3 linked regions of the Mytilus edulis genome follow. The protein of the gene in region 2 binds, or shares a complex with, the protein of the main gene of each other region. Links are inferred from orthologs where the notes say so. Each region holds a gene or a part of one and is shown on either strand. Other genes may lie near its edges. The genes, in order: nucleoside diphosphate kinase homolog 5-like, dnaJ homolog subfamily B member 13-like and ropporin-1-like protein.

The links.
Region 1: the proteins of dnaJ homolog subfamily B member 13-like (region 2) and nucleoside diphosphate kinase homolog 5-like are in contact, whole or in part, in a cryo-EM structure (PDB 8WZB), measured with the Mus musculus proteins. The link is inferred for Mytilus edulis from reciprocal best matches to the Homo sapiens genes DNAJB13 and NME5. Residues at the interface, in NP_705755.2 of Mus musculus: Thr156, Lys157, Lys158, Thr181, Ile182, Asp183, Arg185, Trp188, Arg189, Gly191, Thr192, Arg193, Ile194, Thr195, Phe196, Glu197, Pro281; in NP_542368.2 of Mus musculus: Glu52, His53, Asn56, Met193, Lys199, Pro200, Lys201, Leu202, Cys203, His204, Phe205.
Region 3: dnaJ homolog subfamily B member 13-like (region 2) and ropporin-1-like protein share a complex: the UniProt entries of both Homo sapiens proteins name them as parts of the axonemal radial spoke complex. The link is inferred for Mytilus edulis from reciprocal best matches to the Homo sapiens genes DNAJB13 and ROPN1L.

What each region holds. Positions count from the first base shown.
Region 1 is NC_092352.1:35,868,734-35,876,043, reverse strand, and holds the start of nucleoside diphosphate kinase homolog 5-like, read right to left. Parts: upstream 3,073-7,310; 5' UTR 3,017-3,072; coding exon 2,873-3,016; intron 1,169-2,872; coding exon 963-1,168; intron 623-962; coding exon 522-622; intron 1-521. Other genes in the region: fas-binding factor 1 homolog, read left to right, coding at 3,293-3,301, 6,960-6,990. UniProt on the Homo sapiens protein: Functions as part of axonemal radial spoke complexes that play an important part in the motility of sperm and cilia. Does not seem to have nucleoside diphosphate kinase (NDPK) activity.
Region 2 is NC_092353.1:43,375,736-43,383,015, reverse strand, and holds the start of dnaJ homolog subfamily B member 13-like, read right to left. Parts: upstream 3,024-7,280; 5' UTR 2,939-3,023; coding exon 2,871-2,938; intron 1,396-2,870; coding exon 1,289-1,395; intron 619-1,288; coding exon 457-618; intron 132-456; coding exon 1-131. Other genes in the region: cilia- and flagella-associated protein 47-like, read left to right, coding at 3,288-3,437, 4,901-5,055, 5,440-5,647, 6,034-6,080, 6,535-6,763, 7,203-7,280. UniProt on the Homo sapiens protein: Functions as part of axonemal radial spoke complexes that play an important part in the motility of sperm and cilia.
Region 3 is NC_092350.1:52,033,074-52,040,305, forward strand, and holds the start of ropporin-1-like protein, read right to left. Parts: upstream 3,100-7,232; 5' UTR 2,973-3,099; exon of another isoform or gene 2,921-2,972; intron 409-2,920; 5' UTR 391-408; coding exon 254-390; intron 1-253. Other genes in the region: HORMA domain-containing protein 1-like, read left to right, coding at 7,180-7,224. UniProt on the Homo sapiens protein: Functions as part of axonemal radial spoke complexes that play an important part in the motility of sperm and cilia. Important for male fertility.

The sequences.
Region 1 (7,310 bases), on a different chromosome or scaffold from region 2:
TTTAACATATCAATCTTGTTTGCAATGATGTTATCATGTACATGTTAACTGATTTTAGCTATAAAATATCACAATAAAGGTATACATGTATAAGGTATTCTTATTTAAAATATATCTTAGTTTGTCAAAGGCTTTGTGTATATGGTAAAATGGGAAAGATAGTTTGCATGTTATTTTAATTACATCTTATGAAAGACATCATCATTCCTCAGTCCTGTACAACATGTACATGTTTTTTAACCTGAAACATTAACTTAATTGGAAATGACTTGAATAACATTCAGGGAACTGATTATTTCAGGACAAAGCAAATGGTTTTTAGATGTCATGTTGCCCTCTAAATTAAGTAAATATAGCACATTTGTACATATATTGAAGGTAGGTAAATGATTATAACTATCAAACTGAGGCCAGAAATATAATTTCCCCTAGTCTATATGTTGACTACATTTTGTACTTAAATAGAGAAGTTGATAATCTTGTGTCTAAAAAAAGTGATATACAGTATTCATGCAACTTACTGTCTGCAAAAAAGAATCTTATTTCCCTCTCTGCCGCTGAAAAAGTGTCACTGCCATGTAATGCATTTTTCTGATCATCTGCTCCATATATAGCTCTCAAACTAAAATTCAAAGGTGGTGTAAATCAAGTATTAGCATTTGGTTTTATATTGGACTAAAAGCCTTTTAACAGATCAGATTTCTTACATAACTTTCAATATTTGATATAGTATTTATTAACATAATATGATTTGTTAAACATGTATCACTTCATGACTTCAATATATGTACTACATTTGTAGAATATTCTTTTGTTGCTATTTTTAAACCATTGAATTTCATTTCACACATAAAAAACAGTTTCCATGACCAAACTACAAATAAAAGAGAGATAGCTCGACTATGTCAACTTCATATGAGAATGACAATTGTGATTTTCTTTAAACATTTTAATATGCATACCAGTCAGGGTGTGTCTGTTTTGCTTTTACAGAATTTGTCGGTCCTATTAATTCTTTCCAATATGATATAGCCTGATCACGCGCTAGAACTAGTGCTATCATTGGACCACTGCTCATGTAAGCTACCAGACTTGTAAATGCAAATTTTCCAAAATGTTCAGCATAAAAATCACTAGCTTGTTCAGGTGTTAAATGGACCCTTCTCTTCTGCAATTAAATTAGCACATATATTATTATATAATCAATGTAACATGTTCAGGATTATAATTTGAAACAAAATTATAAATGAGCAAATGTATCATCATTTTAAAACATAAGTTCAAAAATAATTTATATTTTGTGTAATTTCCTTGCTCCATTTTGTCATGGGGACTGAAATTATATTGTTTATCAATAAAATTGCTTCCTCCCACTGCTTGACAAGCCATTGCAAAACATTATGATTTCCCAGTGGACTCCTGTAATAAAATCCTTAGTAAGAACCCTTAAAGGAAAATGGGAATACAATATGAACACCCAGCTAAATTAGACATTAACATAAAATAATTATTTAACAAACAGAAAGCATTGGTTTCAATACAAATTTAAATATTGTCCTATTATTGATGAAAAAAATCCTCCACCTCTTCATGGAAATCAACAATTTGATAAAGTTATGAATTGTACATGTATTTGTACATTGTTGTTTTGAAATTAAACAAACGTCTTATTGTTTTAAATTTTGTAATATTTGAAAAGAAGCAAAAATGGATATGAAAATGGCACAAGATAATGAATGTAAGCATTGTAAATAAGATGAATCAATTGTCACAATAATTATGATGTCTTGAGAGGCTATATTTTTTTGCTTTGACACCTTACAGTCTCTATAGCTAGTGTGTCAAAGCAAAAGGTTTAATAGCCTTTCAAGACATCATGATGATTTGGACTCATTAATCGTTAATAAAATTATTTTCAGCAGATAAAAATACACCTTATCGCTATTTGTCTACCATTACTGTATGCCATAAAAGTTCTTGTAATTTTTTTTATGTCATAATAGAAAATTTCTGACGCCACAATGGAAAGTAATTGTTGTATGACGTCAAAAGTTCAAGAGAAGCAGATTCAAGGGACAAGCGGGACAGAACTTTTAATATCAATAAGGTGGATACAGACTCCAAATATTTCATCATAATTCTTACATTATATGATTTGCATATTAGTGAATACGTTGATATGATTGGTGGAGATGACTTCCGGTAGTTGATCTTGATGTTGTTTATTTTTCGATAGGCAACGTTGGCCGAACTTCTTTTTGTAACCAATGTAAACAAGATGGCGGCAATAATAACATCGACTTGAACAAAATTTATTTTCACTGCACGTACTCATTAAAATAAATAATAAACACAAAAACATTTGTTTGAATGATAACTCGAGTCTTTGTGGTTTATTTTTTATCAGATAGCAAATTTAAATGAGTACATATTTTTGCATTAACCAACAAATATATTCATGCGCCATGCCTATTCAATGACAAAAAATATACAATTTACGTGTGATAGAGGTTACGAGTGTTGAAAAATATATTCCTTAGCTCCAATTTTAAAGAATTATAAGGATTAAACGCCTTTTTAAAGGAATTTATTGGTGTATAAACTGGACCAAGTCACTGGTAGAGTTTATATACCAATAAATTCCTTTGAAAAAGCGTTTAATCCTATGTAAACTTTCTACTTACGGCAAAAAATATGTATAGGCCGTAGGTACATAACGACTTGGTAAGCTTGCATTTAAGATGGCGCCTTCCTCATATACAGAAACATGAGACTAAGTAATGACTTGGTAATCAAAATTCGATGTGCTTTTGCTGTATACAAGATGATTGATGAGGAATAGGAAAGCATGTTTTCTTATTTCTTAAATTACCTGTAAAATCGAAAATCCAGATCTCAAAATAATATCTTCAATTTCTTCTGCTTTATTAACTGCATCTGGTTTGATAATTGCTAATGTCCGTTCCACATAAACATGTGGTGGATCCATTGTAACTGTTTCGTTCTCTCCTGTCATTTTGTCCCTTGTAAAATATTATGGCGTCCTGTTGCTAAGAAATATATTATGATCTCGCATTTTCACGTACGGTGCACCGTACGAGATTTCAAAGAACTGACTGGTTCCTCGTTTAAAATAACCAACAGCCGTATTCCCCAATGTTACAATAAACGTAAACTAAAGGAAGCAGATAATGTCTACAAGAAAATGATTTTGTTTGAAAGATATAAACGAAATGTTTAAAGCTGCACATCTATAGATACATTTCTGTTGATTGGAATATTGAAATACATCATGGCTAATGTAAATTTTGCATTAAAACTCAGAAATTTCAACTTCAAAGCAAAAGAACAAAAAGTGTTGCATGCACACACATGACATGTCCAAACAGTATAATAAGAATTTCTCATTTATTGCTCATGTATTCCCGATTGTGATATGCATTTTGTGTTGCTAATGCTAAATAGTTGGTATCAGAGTTTAATACATGATAACATCGGATACATGTCAACTCGTACTTTCGGCAACTCGTACTCAGCCAACTCGTACTTTCGGCAACTCGTACTTCTACCAACTCGTACTTCTTCTAAGTCGTACCCAATATTTTTTTAGCATTATAATATAAGTTTTCTACGTTTATATCAGTAGATATGGATATTTTAACTCCCTGAAGTATCCCAGTGCACCCTGAGGTAGATCCATAGAATATGAAAAGGATATTTTTTACTGAACATTGCGTTGAACATGTCTTAGTTTTTTCGTGTTAGTAGAAAATATTTTTAACATTATAATGCTTCATATTTTATTATTCACCTACTGATTTATCTACTGATAGGATTTGTATCTGAAAAAAAATCCTCAAGTGTCAAGGTGTGCTCGATCCTTAGAATATTTGAAGAGATTTTTACTGAATATTGCGATAAACACGTTGTTTGTTGATGTGTTAACACTTTTTTTTTTTTTTTTTTTTTAAATAAGCATGGCAGTCAGTTCGTTTTCCGTTTGAATTGTTTTACTGGTCATTATAGCTGACTATGAGGTATGGGTGGGTTTTGCTCATGGCTGAAGGCTGTACGATTACCTATAGTTGTTCATTTCTGTGTCATTTTGGTCTCTAGTGAAGAGTTGTCTCATAAGCAATCAGACGAGATCTTCAAAAAAAAAAAGGACTTTGTGGCAAATAAATCAAGATTTTTATAGAAAATCCACAGCCTTTAAACATAAACCTTAATACACAAATTATTTATTGCAGTTCGCGTGCCGGTGATTAATTGATTGATCATTGCTTCACACCTGAAGTATGTCGATTACCAGTTAATCGGCCCTTATTCACACACGAAACGTGCCATTAATTATTTAACCGTTATCAAAACAACTTCACACCTGATCTAATCTTTCTGCATGTACGTTTGCACTATATTTTAAAATGTATATTTCATCACAATACTACTATCATTTATATACGTATTGACCTCAATTATGATAAAAGTTAAAATAAAAATTAAGCCAATATTTAGAAGAATTACGAGAGGCGTATTAAAAAAACCCACTAGTATCACTATTATTTACACACACATTGTAAGACATTTTTACAAGGCTTTGTTGCTATTAATAATAGTAATAAGGGTCCTACAAATACAGCTTTTTGAAATATATACTCTTATTGGCCCCAAACATGGACCAAATAACAGGATTAGGGGAAAATATTATTGAGATACACAATTTATATATCGTCTTGCATACATTACAATGTGGACGAACCATGATTGCAATTGAAGATGATCATACATTTCACCATAGTTTATATATTTTTTCTCTAAGCTTGGTTTTTACAACGTTTAAGCCATGCATTTTCTTTTCGGTGAGGATGGTGATTGTTTAAGTATAACTCAACGGCCTTTGATGATCATAGTGCCGCACTTATACCGATTTTTTGTTTTCATTTACTTCTCTCTGTTTATTCTACTTTTAACAAATCCATTCTATTTTTGTAGGTATGTTATCCACTAATGACCACTGATTAGCATATTGTGTACTCATAATTATTTTAATGTGCATATCAAATAAATTGTCGTGCAAACAATTTCAAACAATCAATTATAAGGAATACTAATGATTATAACGATTAGCATTTTATAAGCTTATTTAAAACAATTATGATTGAATTTTATTAACAATGAAAGTTGTTTTTTTATTTGTATTTTGCTATATAATGATATACGAAAGAAAGTTACAATAACTATGCATATAAACTTGATAAATAATATCAAATAAAACATGGTTACGAGTTGGCAAAAATAGGGTACGAGTTGGTTGAGTACGACTTGCCGAAAGTACGAGTTGTCGTGTACCCATAACATCTAATCCACTGCTACAATTATGGAGCAACTCGCTTTCATCATGATCATGACGATCCATCCCAGGCTGCCGGTCCACGACATTCTGTCACCATATTTAAAGTTAATCCGGCCCGAATAAAAAAATATTTCAGAAAAGATTGTTCACATTTGGCAAGATGAGGTTGCAATCTAAATTCAAACGGAAAAAGCAGCAATGCAAATCATTGATTTTTCAATTTTTTGATCCGAAACTGCAGATTATCTGTCATGGCATAGTCATAATTGTAATCCTTCTTGACAAAATTGGCTGAATCTCCGGGAATCATATGTGACACACATAACTGTCAATGTGCTTGGCCGACCACTCCTGATCATACCTGATCTCTCCTGACCGTCACCTTACTGGATCAGCAGGAACCAGTAACAAAAGTACACTGCATTCTGACAATGATTGATCAAGGAAAGTAATCTTACTTTGTATCTTTTCTTGTCTGATCGTTGTCTTATCTCAAACAGGAGACATAATCAATACTGTGTGAATGCTGCATTATAATGATTTCATAGAATAAAATTCCTGCGGATATTCAAAGTTATCATGGAAAATAACTTCATATTAATAAGCTGATACTGCATTATAAACAGTATCTATTACACTTATTTTCCTTGCATTATAAATAGTATCTATTACACTTGTTTTCTTATCTATTTTAAATAGTTATTCAAATTGGGCATACATCACTCACCTGCTGTCATTGATACTTAAAACTTTTTACAAATTCCATTTATCCTGATTCCAATATGTCACCAAATTCTATAAAGTTAACATAGATTATTCATTATCTTATTATGGGGAAGGATTGACATGGGTTCAGATTGAAGTGGGACGGATCTACTTTTAGTCAGATCAAGTTTGGGTCTCATCAGTTTGGGGATTGATTGACTTGTACCAAACAACTCAGGCAAGAGTAGCAACAACTTGGAGGCTCTGACCGACTTATAAATCAACAAGGCGTGTCTATATAGTTACAACTGCTGCCGTACTTGCCTGTTTTAAGGTTAAATCCCCCATGTGTCATAAAGTTTAAATCCAGCATGTGGCATAGGGTGCTTGGATTTAATCTTAAAATCGACAAGGATTGTCAGTTTTCCTACTGAAAATTGGTGGTTCTCTCTGGGCTCACTAACTTTCTCCACATTATAAATTGAATGTCATCAAAAAGTGCAACAGTGCAGAAAGTGATGTTAAACACGCAAAAAAACCAACAACCAATAAAGTAATTTCTAACAGTCTACAGTGGATTGATAATGATAATAAATGATTAAATGTTACTTTTTTAACATAGAAATAATCTTTCAAATTTGCAAAATAATTTGTTCAATGCATATGTGATTCACAATTTCTACTGATTAATGAAATGAAGTTTAGGCTGAAAAGGGTATTTGTTCTATTATTTGTTGTTGAAATTTGTTAGTTAATGTTAATGTAATTTCAATCTCATTGCATATTTATTTTGTATTTAACCCAAAGTCTGTCACACATAAATGTTGTCTTTTAGCTATAGTAAATCCTTTTATCTGATCTTTATAAGTGAAAGTCTACCATATGCATGTTTTTATTTTAGGCTTGGACACCTGGTGGCAAGAAACAGCAAAGTATGTATAAATTTAGTTATTTTGTTTTGGCTTATCATTTAAAATTACTCATATAAAGAACAAAATTTACATTACAATACACAAATGGTGTCGATGTACCGGTATGCTTCACATCTATAAAAGTGTCTAACAAATACATTTTTTTGAAATTCAGAGTATAAAGTCTATGTAACTGTCTAATGGTAGGTAAGAACTTATTTGTCTCCATTATTCAATGATGTATTAATAACATTAAATTTCTAATCAGCAATGGATTGATAAACATGCTAATATGTATGTTTTACCATGGTAATAAAAAGATTTGATGCTTGTGTTCTATT
Region 2 (7,280 bases):
GCAACCATGAAATACTTCTTCCAATGACAAGAAAAGTTCTCTTTCTATTGGTGAATCTTGTTTCTTATGTCCTCTGCCTTGTAAACCACCAAATCCCATGCTTAAATCTCCATCAACTCTGTCATAAAATTCTGCAAAAAGTAATAAAAAAAATCGGTATTTAATATTAATATTATTAACCAGGTTAATGGTCTGTTATGACATGTTATGGTCTATCAGGATGGTTAATGATACATTGGCAATTTTCAATAAGTAAGTTTGTTTAATTTTCTGTTTTGGACACAAATCAAATGGACCTGATCGAGAGGCCTTTGAAGAAGGAAAGATTTTGGTAATTTCTCTGATATCGTATTATCCTTCTTTGTATGCCTTTATTTTATATCTGTGTATGCCTTTATTTTATATCTTTGTATGCCTTTATTTTATATCTTTGTATGCCTTTATTTTATATCCTACCTTGAAATGGATTATCACCACCAAAGAATTCTCTGAAAACTTTTTCTGAATTTCCATGGAATGTGTAACCTTGGGTCCAAGCACCTGCCTCCCCACTACCATGAGGAACACCATTCTTTAGGCCTTCTTCTCCAAACTGATCATACACTGCCCGCTTTCTTGCTGAAAAAATAGGATTTTGAAAGATTAATGTATTAAACTACATGTATTAAAAAACTTCATGCATCATATAACACAGAAAAACTCTGCTTAAGATCATCTTTTAGTCAACTTATAATATATACACTTGTTCATCTTTAAGGGTGTTGATGACTGAAACTATAATTGAAATTCACCTCTCCATAATGTCTTCTGGACAAAGAACTCACTTCCTCTCAAAGATCATACATTACGATAAAATGGTTTATGTTTCAACTCTAAAAATATTTAAGGAAAACTAAAAAAATGTAAAATATCTGTCAGAAGATAACTTATCTAACACGGAGGTAACATCAACCACCCTACAGAAAAAATTCCCCTATTTCACTATTACCAATCAGCAAAACATTAACCTAAAATTTGTTTAAACTTGTTATCGGATGGATTCTGTCAAAGGTTGATTGAAAAAAAAAGAAACATTTACAATTCAACTCTTTATATCAGTATGAAAAAAATATCACGAAAAACAACATGAAATTGGTTCCACAGCTTATATATATATACTTCTGAAAATTTCAATAAAACTCTCACTTTATAGCAGTTTTGTTAAGTTGACGCTTTGTGGTGATTTATTGTCGAGGCCTTATCAAATGCAAATACATGTACATAAGTTTTTCTTTACTTTACTACTTACGATCACTTAAAATGTCATAAGCCTCAGCACATTGTTTGAATTTGTCTTGAGCATTTTGATCACCATCATTTCTGTCAGGATGAAATTTCAAAGCTAATTTTCTGTAGCTGTAAAAAATAAAAATATAAGTAAAGTTAAATATATAAAGGATACAATTTTTGTACAAAAATAAATTTGAAGCAAAAAAAGACACTTTAAATCTGAGCAGGTGCACACAACACGAGTAATTTTATAAGATACAACCAAAATTATATACAGTAAGTATAGTATAATTAAGAAATAATTCATGGGGGATGGAATATTTCGTGATATTACCACGGGTTGGCCCTTAATGACAAATATTTTACCCTGAGCGATAAGACAAATACGGCTATTGTTTTGGATCGAAGCGCTCTAGGTGGAGACAAATATTTGCCTTTCCCATAAATAAACACACTATTAAATTGGCGTAAAAGAACGAAGCAAACTCAATTAGTGACATGCTTAAAGTTTTTACAATAACGTATCTAGATAGCTTTGGGTGAATTTAAATTATAATTTACTTATCATAATGATGTTTTAAAAAAATCGGCTTATACCACATTTAGCATTGTTTGTTTACGTTTCCTTGTTGTGATGATTTTTGTTTTGGAAAGCATGTATTTTTCCGTAAAATGCACATATTCATACGTCATCTTTCTATGACGTTTGGTATCTCATTCATAAAAAAACATATGACATGGGAGTACAATCGGAACAGCCCTGGCAATAAATTCATATTTAACCACAGGTGTGTACTCAAAGCATTTGAAGGACGTCATGTTAGAATAGGAAATAATAAAGAAAAATAAATATAGAAAGGTGGGTCTAAGCATGACGCGGGATTGCTGATTTTTTGTAAGCGTGAAACGGGAAAGTCAAATTATTGTGCCGTGAAAACGGGAATTAAGGTCTAGTGGGACACGGGCAATTACAAAAAAATGAGAATTGCTTAGGTACATAGTATAAGCGGGATACGGGAATCTGACAAAACAGTAAGCGGGATCCGGGATCAGAACCCCCCAATGAGACCCCCAGAAAAGGGGTACTCATTTGTACTTTTTTCATCTGGCCTGAACCAGTTCAGGAATACGTTTTTCAGATGAATCTGTCATGTGACTTCCATCCCTCAGTTGTATGGGAATCAAGATTATGAACTTATAGAACATAAATTAATTCTATATCACCCTACAATACAGAATGACGAAAATGCTCGAAAACTTTTGTAAGACCAGGGATACGGGCAGGCCTTATATCTTTTTCAGTGAAAGGCATGATACCAGAATAGATGACTGATTCCAATGGGCCATGGACATGGAAGGTACCATATCCAGGCAAATAATCATTGCATGCCGGCACAGCTGATGTCTATAATAAGACTTACTTGGCAAATGGAAGACTGAACAGACTAAAAATGGATGTTCAGTGGATAGTTGTAGATACCTATTCTCTAATTAAAAAAAAACAAACATAAACTGATTGAAAGTGAAATAACAAATCAGTGAGTTCTTATGAATTTGGAACATTATGTTTGATCCTGTAATTTAAAACATCAATTCCTTACTGTTTCTTAATGTCTGCATCTGTTGCACTTCTTGTTAATTGCAAAATATTGTAGTAATCGACTCCCATCGTTTATTTTTGTTTTGAAACGACTGTAAGATCGGGTCGTTTACTAAAGATGGCGTGGTTGCTATGCGATGTATAGCTAGTTTATTTGACGGTATTTTCGTACTGAATTAATGTCAGATTTTGTTTTAATTGATTATTCGATACATCAGATAAAATATAATAGCTTCATAAAGAAACATAATTGTTTTAATTTTAATAGAACAAAACAAATTTAAAGATTTTACTCAATTACGAAAATGCGGTTTTATTTTGTTTGCTTGAAAAATCCCCGAGCAACCTTCCCAAACAATATGGCGGTAATAGTTTGAAGTTTTTAAAAAGATAATCGACATTTTTGAACGAAAGCATCATGGAAGGTGACACGTTCGGTGTCCGAATTTCACCACCGCAATTGGAATTCTTTGACACAGATGTCAACACAGTTCATGAGCTGAACATCACTGTGAAAAACATAAGCAAATCAAGTAAAAGCATACGATTTTATGGACCAAAATCTAAAGTGAGTAGGATTTAAGTCGTCTGTTTACATAAGTATATTCAACAGCTAATTTATAAACTATAATATATAAACCCTGAACCAAGTCTTCGTCATTGGTTATTGCCAAGCCAGTTTTAGCAAGTCAGAGCTTCTAAGTTCTAGAAAAATTTATCCTGAATTCCCCAAAAAAATGAAGCATCATCTTTCCCTGATTTTGAAAATTGATTCTTACTTTTAGAAACTCAATAGGTATTATCCTTAAATTTCAGCTGAAATTAAGATCCAATTTTGACACCATGAAGACTACTTATGATAAAGCCACTTCATGGTTTTGACATATATATTGCATTCTAAGAACATGTCGAATACACCTTATCACTAATCCCGGCTGACCCAGCCGCTTGATCTTTTGACGCATACAACAATCACTTTTGCATTGTGGCTTCAGATATTTTGTTTTATGACGTCAAATTTTTACGGGAACCTGTGTGATATCCAGTAATGACGGACAAATAGCGATTGTGTATGAGGGGCATATTTTTTTCGAAATAGATGTTACATGTACATGATGTAACTGTAAAAGAAAGTATGAGAAAGAGGAAATCCTATGCTAGTTTTCAATCAACTGTTCTGTTTCCTTGATGTTTCCCCATATTTTTTTTCATAGTATTGCATCTCCATAATGGCCATTATGAAAATATCCCCCCTATTCAACATAAAATTGAGAATGGAAATGGGGAATGTGCCAAAGAGACAACCCGACAATAGAGCAGACAACAGCAGAAGGTCACCAACAGGTCTTTAATGCACCGAGAAATTCCCGCACCCGGAGGCATCCTTCAGCTGACCCCTAAACAAATATATACTAGTTCAACTGTGAAAGGGTATATTTTTCCATGTTCCAGACATTTCCTATAGATGTCAAAATCATAATTCTCTTATTTTTTTTGGGGGGGGGGGGGGGATTTTTTTTGCACAATGTCAACAGTTCATATAATCGTAAGTCAGGTGTTTCAGAATGCAAATAGGGGTAAGGTCTATTTACAATCCTCCAAAACTCAAATGCAGAAAAAAAACATGTATTTAAAATTATTCAAGATATAAAACTGCATAAAGCAAGAGGGGCACATGTGACTTAACACCAGTTGTGTCAGTAATATTTTAAGCTTAGTGAATTTTATAGGTACAATATAATATTTTATTGTACTGTTTGTTGAAAGTGCAGACATGACTGACTTTATTTATTCATATTATGTTATGATAAGTAAAAACATACATTTTATGAAAACATCAATTTGATGTTTTCATAACTTCATTTAAATCATTATTACATTGTTTGATCCTTAAATTGATAAATTCGTGAAGCATCTATTATAATGTTACTTATAATACTTTTTTTGCTACTCTCTAATATTAAACTATTAAATAGAAGGTTAAAAATTAATTGAATTGTTCTTTTTATCAAGAAATATTTACTTTTTTAGTTCTTCAATCTAAAAGTAAAAAACCCTACAAAGCCAGTGGCATCAGGCTTATGTGTCCCAGCTATTATTGAATTTGAAACCAGTGAAGCAAAAGAGATTCGTGATAGACTGGTTGTAACTATTGATGGAGATGTGGCTGAAATACCATTAATAGCGTAAGTTCTTAGTTTCATATTTTAATGTTAGGATTTATTTTACATTGTACACAAATAATAATTTAAATTTGTACTAAAAAGGATATTCAGTCTATCATAATACAGAGACACAATTTCCAAAGATATAATGGTTATTTTTTTGGGGGGGGAGGGGGATTATTAGCATTAATTTACTCTTTACAATAACTGGGGAATCTTCAAACAAAGACCGAAGAACTTGCATCAAGTTCAGAGACTACATGTATTAACACACTTAACAGTAATAATCACATTTTTTCCTATCAAATCAGATTATCAATTGATTTTAAAGGAATTATCCACAGTAATTTAAGTTTAAAATTGTTAATTGCCCTGACCTATATTGGATTATTTATTTAATAATAGATATCCTATGCAGCCTATGCTAGAAATTGAAGAAGTTGTTGACTTTGGAAGTCTTGTAGCTAGCAGTAAAACAATATCAAAAGAAATAGCATTAACAAATCATGGATCTAAGGCTGGAGAATTTAAACTGAAGTATTCTGGAGACAAACCTTTAGCCATTGTTCCCACCAGTGGCAATGTACCTCCTAAAAGTGTACAGTTGATAAAGGTAAATATGTGAATCAAGAATAAAAATACATGTACTACAAACCATGCAATATGGAGCATACCTGTCAAATACAACGATTTGTTTCAATTTTGCTGGTTTAAGTATCTTTCAAGAGTAAAAAAATTTCCAGATGATGTACTTTGTGACTTTCTAAAAATTACCATAATTACCTAGGGCAGCAAAATTCCAAATAGAAGTAACATACATTAATGTATTGTTCAAATGTTGTGTAATGGCTACTTTAATAAAAATATATCTTAAATTCTTAGCTACAATATATTTTTGATAAATAGAAAAAATACCATACATTAATGCTTTGATATGATTTGAATATTGTTTTGTGTGTCAGCAATATTTTCGAATCCTTTCTTATTCTTGCTTTGCAGATTGAATATGTAACAAAAGAACCTGGAAACTTAGAAGAGCATGTGAGGTAAGTATCTTTTAAGTCATAAATGGAATTATTTCTGTATGGGAAAAGGGATGTTTGTATAATATTATTAGGTTGCTGCCTCATTTCAATACAAATGCTCCATATCTAAAATATTCTAATTGAGAAAAAAAAAATATCACAAAAAAAAAACCCACACCAAAACAAAAAAGATAAAACAGACAAGTGGTGTACATATGTACAATGTAACAGTAAGTGTTATAATATTGAAATGTTTTTGATTTACGACAGAATATGACAAAAATTGACATGCCAATGATTGATCTGATAGACCCTCTAATTTTCTTATAAATATCTATGAGTATAATCTGTTACAGCATGGTTTTAGATCTCAATTATTAAACTCTTTTTTATGTCTATTAGTGATTTGCAATTATAAATGCTTTTTTTTCTAAATAAACTGACATTTTTTTTATATTTTAATACATTTTTCCAGAGTTAAACTAGAAGGAAGAGAACCTAAACAATTGACAATAAAGGGAAGATTAGTTGACAGAGCTCTAGAAGTTTTATCTGTAGATACTGGGGCACCAGTAGATTGTGTACAGTTTGGTAGTACCTATTATGGATGTGACAGAACACAGTGTGCATTACTTTACAATAACAGTCCAGAATCTGTTAACTTTGTAGCTGTACTAGATGAAGATGCTGTGGCTCAGGAAATGGTTAGCATAGTCAGATAGAAGAAAATAATAATCATTCCAAATTATCTCAAGATTCGGTTGAATGTTACGGGAACAAAAGTACCATTCATTTTATAAAAAAAATAAATGTATTAATAATTAATGGAATTAAAAGATATTTGGTTTCAATCTTTTATAGGAAATATATATTATTTGGTTGGAATATTTTCTTCATTTTATTTAACAACCATAATTGAACCTTACCATACAAAGTTTTGTGGATGCTTTTGCCTCATCATTTTCTGGCAGACTGCTGCAGGTGGTATATCTTGTTGACCCTGTCTTATCATGCTGTTTCTGGCATAGTTTTATTTTCTTCTTTTTAAATTCTTATCCAAACATTGTTTGAATAATTGCCATCATCAGGGCAAGAAAAGTTTAAATGTAATAAAATAATTCATCTGTCAAAATTTTATTACAGGGAATAGATTTGACAAAAAGTACAACTGATGCCTTGGCTAATACTGGAAACGGAGATAAATCTAAAGGTGGAACGAAT
Region 3 (7,232 bases), on a different chromosome or scaffold from region 2:
TCAGTGATCTGATTTACAAATTACAACCTCTATAGATAATTTTTCTAAAGACAAAAAGATAAAAAAAAAAATACCACCAAATCTTTTTTAAATAGGTTTCTTTAGTTAGACAAATTGTACTACCCCCTCTCCCACAACCCAAAATTAAAATTTCAGTTTCCCTAAATTAAAAAGAAGATATTTTTTATTTTAAATTCCTAATGAAATCATCTCAATATTTATAGTTTAATTAGACAACTAAAAGTGTACTTACGCAGCAGACCATGCTAAAACATCTTTTGGCTGTGTTCTGATTGCAGCTTTTGTAAACTGTTTGAGTATGTCTGGTAGCTGAGGAGGAATGTTAATCTGCTGAGAGCAGTAGTATGGCTCATCTGGATTGGTAGGCATTTTGGAATTAGGATTCTCCTAAAAATTAAAAGGATTTTTTAAAAATAAAATTGAGAATGGAAATGGGGAATGTGTCAAAGAGACAACAACCCGACCAAATAAAAAACAACAGCAGAGGGTCACCAACAGGTCTTCAATGTAGGGAGAAATTCCCGCACCGGAGGCGTCCTTCAGCTGGCCCCATAACAAATATATACTAGTCCAGTGATAATGAACGCCATACTAATTTCCAAATTGTACACAAGAAACTAAAATTAAAATAATACAAGACTAACAAAGGCCAGAGGCTCCTGACTTGGGACAGGCGCAAAAATGCGGCGGGGTTAAACATGTTTGTGAGATCTCAACCCTCCCCTATACCTCTAACCAATGTAGTAAAGTAAACGCATAACAATACGCACATTAAAATTCAGTTCAAGAGAAATCCGAGTCTGATGTCAGAAGATGTAACCAAAGAAAATAAACAAAATGACAATAATACATAAATAACAACAGACTACTTGCAGTTAACTGACATGCCAGCTCCAGACTTCAATTAAACTGACTGAAAGATTATGATTTCATCATATGAACATCAGGCACAATCCTTCCCGTTGGGGGTTTAGTATCATACCATCATAACATATATGAGAAGAACATAACCCGTGTCATGCCAACAACTGTTTTTAAAAGTTTGTTTTTCTAATTTAAAAGGACTTCATAACCAGCAGGATATAAGGAGATACAATGCAACAGCAACCCAATAGGCAATAATAAAAATAACCAATATACATCTAAGAGGAAACAGTACACCTTATTGCTATTTGCATTACTGGACATCACAGCAGTTCCCGTAAAATTTTGATGTCATATGATAATAGAAAATATCTGACGCCACAATGGAAAAGTCAGGGTTCTCGCTAAGGATTTTTGAAGGCGAGTCCAGGGACTCATCATTTTTAGGTATGATGAGTCCAACAGCAAGAAGAAAATATTTTATTGCAATATAAAGTAATATTTGAGTCTCCATTTCCTAACAGAGCAATGAAATGAAATCAAATTCAGATCACTTTTAAACTTTTGCTATAAAATGATGATATTTGTGTTTAACTGTGTTCAGTTTATACAAAATATTTCAATCTTGATGCATCTGTGGACTCACCAGTTTTGAAAATGTGATTGTAAGTCAAGCTGCACAGATTTTCAAATAGAGATAAAATGTAAAAACAATGTCCTAAGCATTATATCAAAATTAAAATTATCAATATACTTTATTGCTATTTGTCCGCAACAACTGAACATGACAAAAGTTCCAGTAAAAATTAAGTTGCTAACCAAAATTTCAAGAAAAAATTCCATTGTTGCCTTTTATGAAATTTGCGCATTGCAATAAATAAATGTATACGTCCTACTTGCGGTAAATTATCCCAAATAGGAGAAGTATTATAAGACATTACATGTATAACATTTGGGGAAAAAAATCCCCAACCTGTGATTTTCTTTAACTTTTATTTTCAAAAGGAGGTCGAGTTACGAGAGATTTCTCGACCTCAAGACTCAAATATGCAAATATCTATACTTTTTCACCTCCTTTATAGGAGATCGATGTTTAACATTTAGTAGCCAACCACTATTTTTCACCTCCTTTACAGGAGATTGGTATGAAGCATTTAGTGCAACCACGTTAACAATCTGAAGCTCTCAGACATTTAGATTACTTGCATCGTAAATGTACAAGGAGTTAGATTATTGTCATTTGTATAAATCATCACTTTTTTCTCATGGTCACATGAAAATCTAAGGCTGTTAGTTGGCACCAGAAGCGACGAAGCAGCGCATATATTTTGGATGGGCAAATATCCACTTTTTGATATGGGACGAGCTCTGACGTTACACGGCCCCAGCTTGTCTGGCAAAACAGCCGTTGGACGTCAGATTTATCTCGGAATAGTCATCAACTAGCAAAGACATGTGTTGATGAATTTTCATACAATGCAGATGTATAAGTACTGAAAGGTTAATATGGTAATATTCTACATTTACATTTACATGTAAAGTGTCAGTGCCAGTGGCGTTAGACTCAACTTAGAGCACTTTTAGATATTTTTTATGTCCCAAAATGGTGTTTTGCATGGAAAATTTATACACCATATCGCTAATCACGGCTGACCCGGCCGCTTGAACTTTTGGAGCATACAACAATCACTTTTCCATTGTGGCGTCAGATATTTAGTTTTTGTCAAAAATTTACGGGAACCTGTGTGATATCCAGTAATGGCAGACAAATAGCGATAAGGTGTATTGATCAGTTACCATATCATGTAAACTAAATGTGTTGTTTCTTTAATCAATCTTATGAGATTTACGTACGCAAATCGTCAAAACTATAAATAATAAAATAAATTCTCTGAAAAAGTGAAATGCTTGAAGTAAGTGAAGACTGCAGATAACAATGGTCGTATTTTGTCTCGGAACTAAATGAAAGCTTTTCGTTATGGCAACAATCAAATTCAATGTTTTTTGTACAATAAGTAAGTATAGGGCTTTTTACCTTTTGAGATCTTGAGACCTGAAGAACTTGAAATAAACACACACTAACTTACCGGATGTATTCAAATGTTGTGATAGCAACGATTGCTCGAAAGATTTCTTCCGGTTGAAGGATCGGTGTCTCCAATGCGCTTAAGATATTGACAATTTGCCTTGCTTCTTCAATCATTTAAAAGCACGCGAACCCGCGAATTTTTGTCGTCTGCTACACGGTCGATTGAAAAAGGAGGGTGGATGCTGGTCGTCTGCGCTATTTATTGAGTTCAGAAATTATCTTTAGGTGCAAGTAACTTCTTTCTAAAGAACAGACAACGACATACAAAGGTATAGTTTTGATGAGGCCAAGGTTGTGTCTTTGAGTGTGACTGTTTCAGCCATCACTCATGTCATGAATCCGTGTTTGATGGAAAATATTAGAATAAGAAAAACTTCATTTTGATTTAACCAAGTTCAAATCCTTGATTTAAAATACAAACATAAGCTCTGGGGACACTCATACTATATGAAAACTATATAAAAAAAAAAAACACACACAAAACAGTGCATCAGAAGATAAGAAAACTTATTTTAATTTGGCATAGAATTCAGGAAGGCATCACCAGAAAATTAAATAAGTCTTTCAAGACATCTTCAGTCTTCGTCATGATGTCTGATTACATAAGTAAAATATACTACGAATCTCCTGTAGTTGGTGATCGCAATACTGGTATACCAGTATTGTCCACAATACTGGTATATAAATTTTGTACCAGTATTGTAACTTTAAAAAAAAACCAGCAATACTGGTACATTACTGATATACCAGTATTGTAGTTGTATTGTTGACTATACTTTAAGGTGTATAATGAAAACTGAATTTTAAGCTTCTTCTTCTGTGGTTTTTTTTAAGCAAGATCAAAGGGAGATTAAATGAACTCAAAAAGATTATAGAGGATAATTGTGAAATCAATTATCAACCATGGCCAGTTAAAATAATAACTAAATAAACAAAATATTACTGTAATTAACTCATATTTTTCAAACAATTGTTAATTATATAAATAATTGCTAATAATTTTATCACATTTCTATATTTTATTTAATTCAATTTAGATAAAATAAAATAAAAGCTTATTATTATCTGAGTTAATGTTAAATAAATTCAAACAAACTATTACACTATAACCATGATAACACTGTAAATTCAGATTTACATAAAATTGAGAAAGGAAATGTATGCCATTTTAATAGGAGATAACTGTATTGTATTTTAAGCTCCGACGGCATCAATTGGGGATTTGATGGTCGCAAATTAAGTTTACTGGTGACACGTTAGCGGAGACAGTAAAAGGGTATTTGCGACCATCAAATCCCAAATTGATGCCGTCGGAGCTTAAAATACAATATTGTTATCTCCATTCTAATGAAACTGACAGAAAATAACGTTAAAACATGTATTTAAAATCTGTCATATGCCGTCTGCGCTTGTGCGTACGTCCCATAGCATCAATTGTCAATTGATGCCATGTAAGAAAGTGACGTTATCCAATCAAAATGAACATTACAAACGTTATTGCATTAGAATTTATATTTTTTACAGATATTTTAATACATGACATTGTATATGATCATATGCATTTGTTGGTCTTTATTTTCACAATAAACAAGATAAAAGATATCAATATCCATTAAACATAAAAATTTGCTTAATAGGGGAACCTGATTATAATCAAAATAACAAGTTTGTCTACTTGAATGTTAAGGGTAGTTTAAAAAGCAATGGTTTAGTACCATTTGGGCAATACAACATTTTGTACAATTTGTAGCAGATATATCTACTGGTACAAATACTCAAAAACTAGTGCTACAATAAGAGTACAATACTGGAATACAATACTGGTACAAAATTTGTATACATGTACCAGTATTGTGCACAATACTAGTATACCAGTATTGCGATCACGAACTACAGGAGATCCCTACTCCTACAATACACCTTTAGGCCATGGAAAATTAATTGTTGGTTTCCCCTTTTAAACATGGGAAAATTTTAAAGACCCGGTAGGCAGGCTTTTGCATATTTTCAACACTTTAAGTTGTCTCTGCAAAAAAATAAATGACCCGGTCGGGTTAGGGGAAACCATCAATCATTTTTCCATGGCCTTATAACTCTCTGGAAATCTCTGCTTATTGACTAGAGAATCTGCATGCAACTCTTGAACTTTTGACATCAGTTTCCCGTAAAACACTGAACAATCGCTTTTCCATATTGGCATCATGTGATTTTTACTGTGAAGTCAAAAATATATATATGCGAACCTTTGTGATGTCCAATTTTGTTGAACAAATAGCAATAAGCATCAGAAAGAGTACATATGATGCAGTCAGCTGGTAAATCATAAAATCCACCCACCTAAGCTAGGCCTCATTTGTTGAAAGCAAATGGTTAAATAATATAGCGGATGAAATATTTAATTTTTTGAAGAGACACTGAAATTTTTTTGAGCCATTGTTCTTATCCTTCTGATCTGTAGCATGCACACATAAAACACAACAAAATAAAGCGAGCAACAATCAAAATTTTAGATATCTAGCAATCTTTATATATAGAAATGAAAAGATGTTCATATCAATCAAGCACAAACTTGAAACTGGCCAAGGGCAAAGTCTATCTCATCACAATATTTTTCATTTCAAAGTTAAGAGTTAGAATATTTTTCTTTTTACAAAAAAAAAAACCAGTATAACCTTTTAGATACTTTATCAATCTTTTTTTGGGTCAAGAAAATACCTTAATACATAGACACATCTTTGAAAGCCAAGGCTGACAATCTGCTTCCTCTCCTTTTGCCTTTGTCAGATTATTTATAATTATATTAAGAAGAAGTTCTGATCCATGACAATCATAACAATCAATTTATTTTGGTTACAATCACATATATATGACTGTATCCAATTAAAAAACGCCTTTATGTTGATCATATGTGAATAGTGACATATTATATAAACAACTGCCACTTACAAATTGTGCCATGTACAAGTCTTTACCCCTGAAACACTAGCTAGACACTATCATGACTATGTAATGACAATATTAATTCTAATTTCTAATCTCAACTCATTGAAAATGTTGGAAAGTTAGCATATGGGACAATATCCCTAATGCGCCTTGAAATGAGGAACTCAAAAGTCACGTGTAAACAAAAAATCTCTGTGTAGTGATATTTGACACATTTCTAATGATAAACAAATGTCTGAGCTGAACCATTTGTGTTAATTTAGAAAGTAAGGGAACACAGAATAAATGTGTAAAAACTATGGAGCCATTAAATGTGTTCAAAGTATTAAATTGTTAAAGAACTTATTGTGTCAAAAATGGGATTTTTTACCATGAGGAGCCACATCGCAAAAGGATACTCGGGGTTTGCTAATTTACGGAAAAATGAATCACACTTCGTACCCCGAAAATTTAACCACATATGTAAAAATGTCTCAGCTTCGAAACACTTAGCCATCATACATATACAAGTTTATGATATGGGCTGAGCAACAGAAGAAAACGTTACCATTACCGCCTATGTAGAAACAATTGCGCATATTGCCCCATATACATTTCTGGTTATTGCTTAATAATTACATTAAATGTATGTTTCACTATAATACGTTATTCTGATTGGCTAACTGTACATCACATGTTATTTCTTAAGCAGTTGTATCACACAATAAAACTTTTCATTCATGATGACACGAGGTCCCACAATAAAGTGCACAGGTAAATGAAATAAAAACTTGATGAAAGGCGTGTTTTCACGATCCTATAGGTAAAAATGTAATTATAAGTATTGAATGCTTTTTTTTGTAACTTTATAGGGTTGTAAAAGCGTTAACCGTGGGCACATTTTTAGTATGAAGCGCTTCCGCGCTTCATACAAAATGAACTTCGGTCAACGCTTTTACACCCCAATAAATTTACAAAAAAGAGCATTCAATTCTTAAATGAAATTTTGTAACACTGATACAACATTTTTTTCAAATCCAAACTGAAGATTATTTGGTCAAGAATAATGTAGTCTTGATTAAGCATGACTTCTATTGGTTGCACGATAGCTAGTGCAAAGCTGTATACACAAATTGTATCTTAACCAGCCACAGGTGAAGATTAGAGGACCAGCTTGAAACCATTGGCTAGAGAAGATGCACAAGACACCCTTGAAACAGAAATAATCCCTCACAAAAACTAAAAAACAATGCTTATAGATACTCTTCTTATTTTATTTTTAGATGTCTACAGCACAGATGCAGAGAACACAGGAGAAGACCAGTACAGTAAGAAT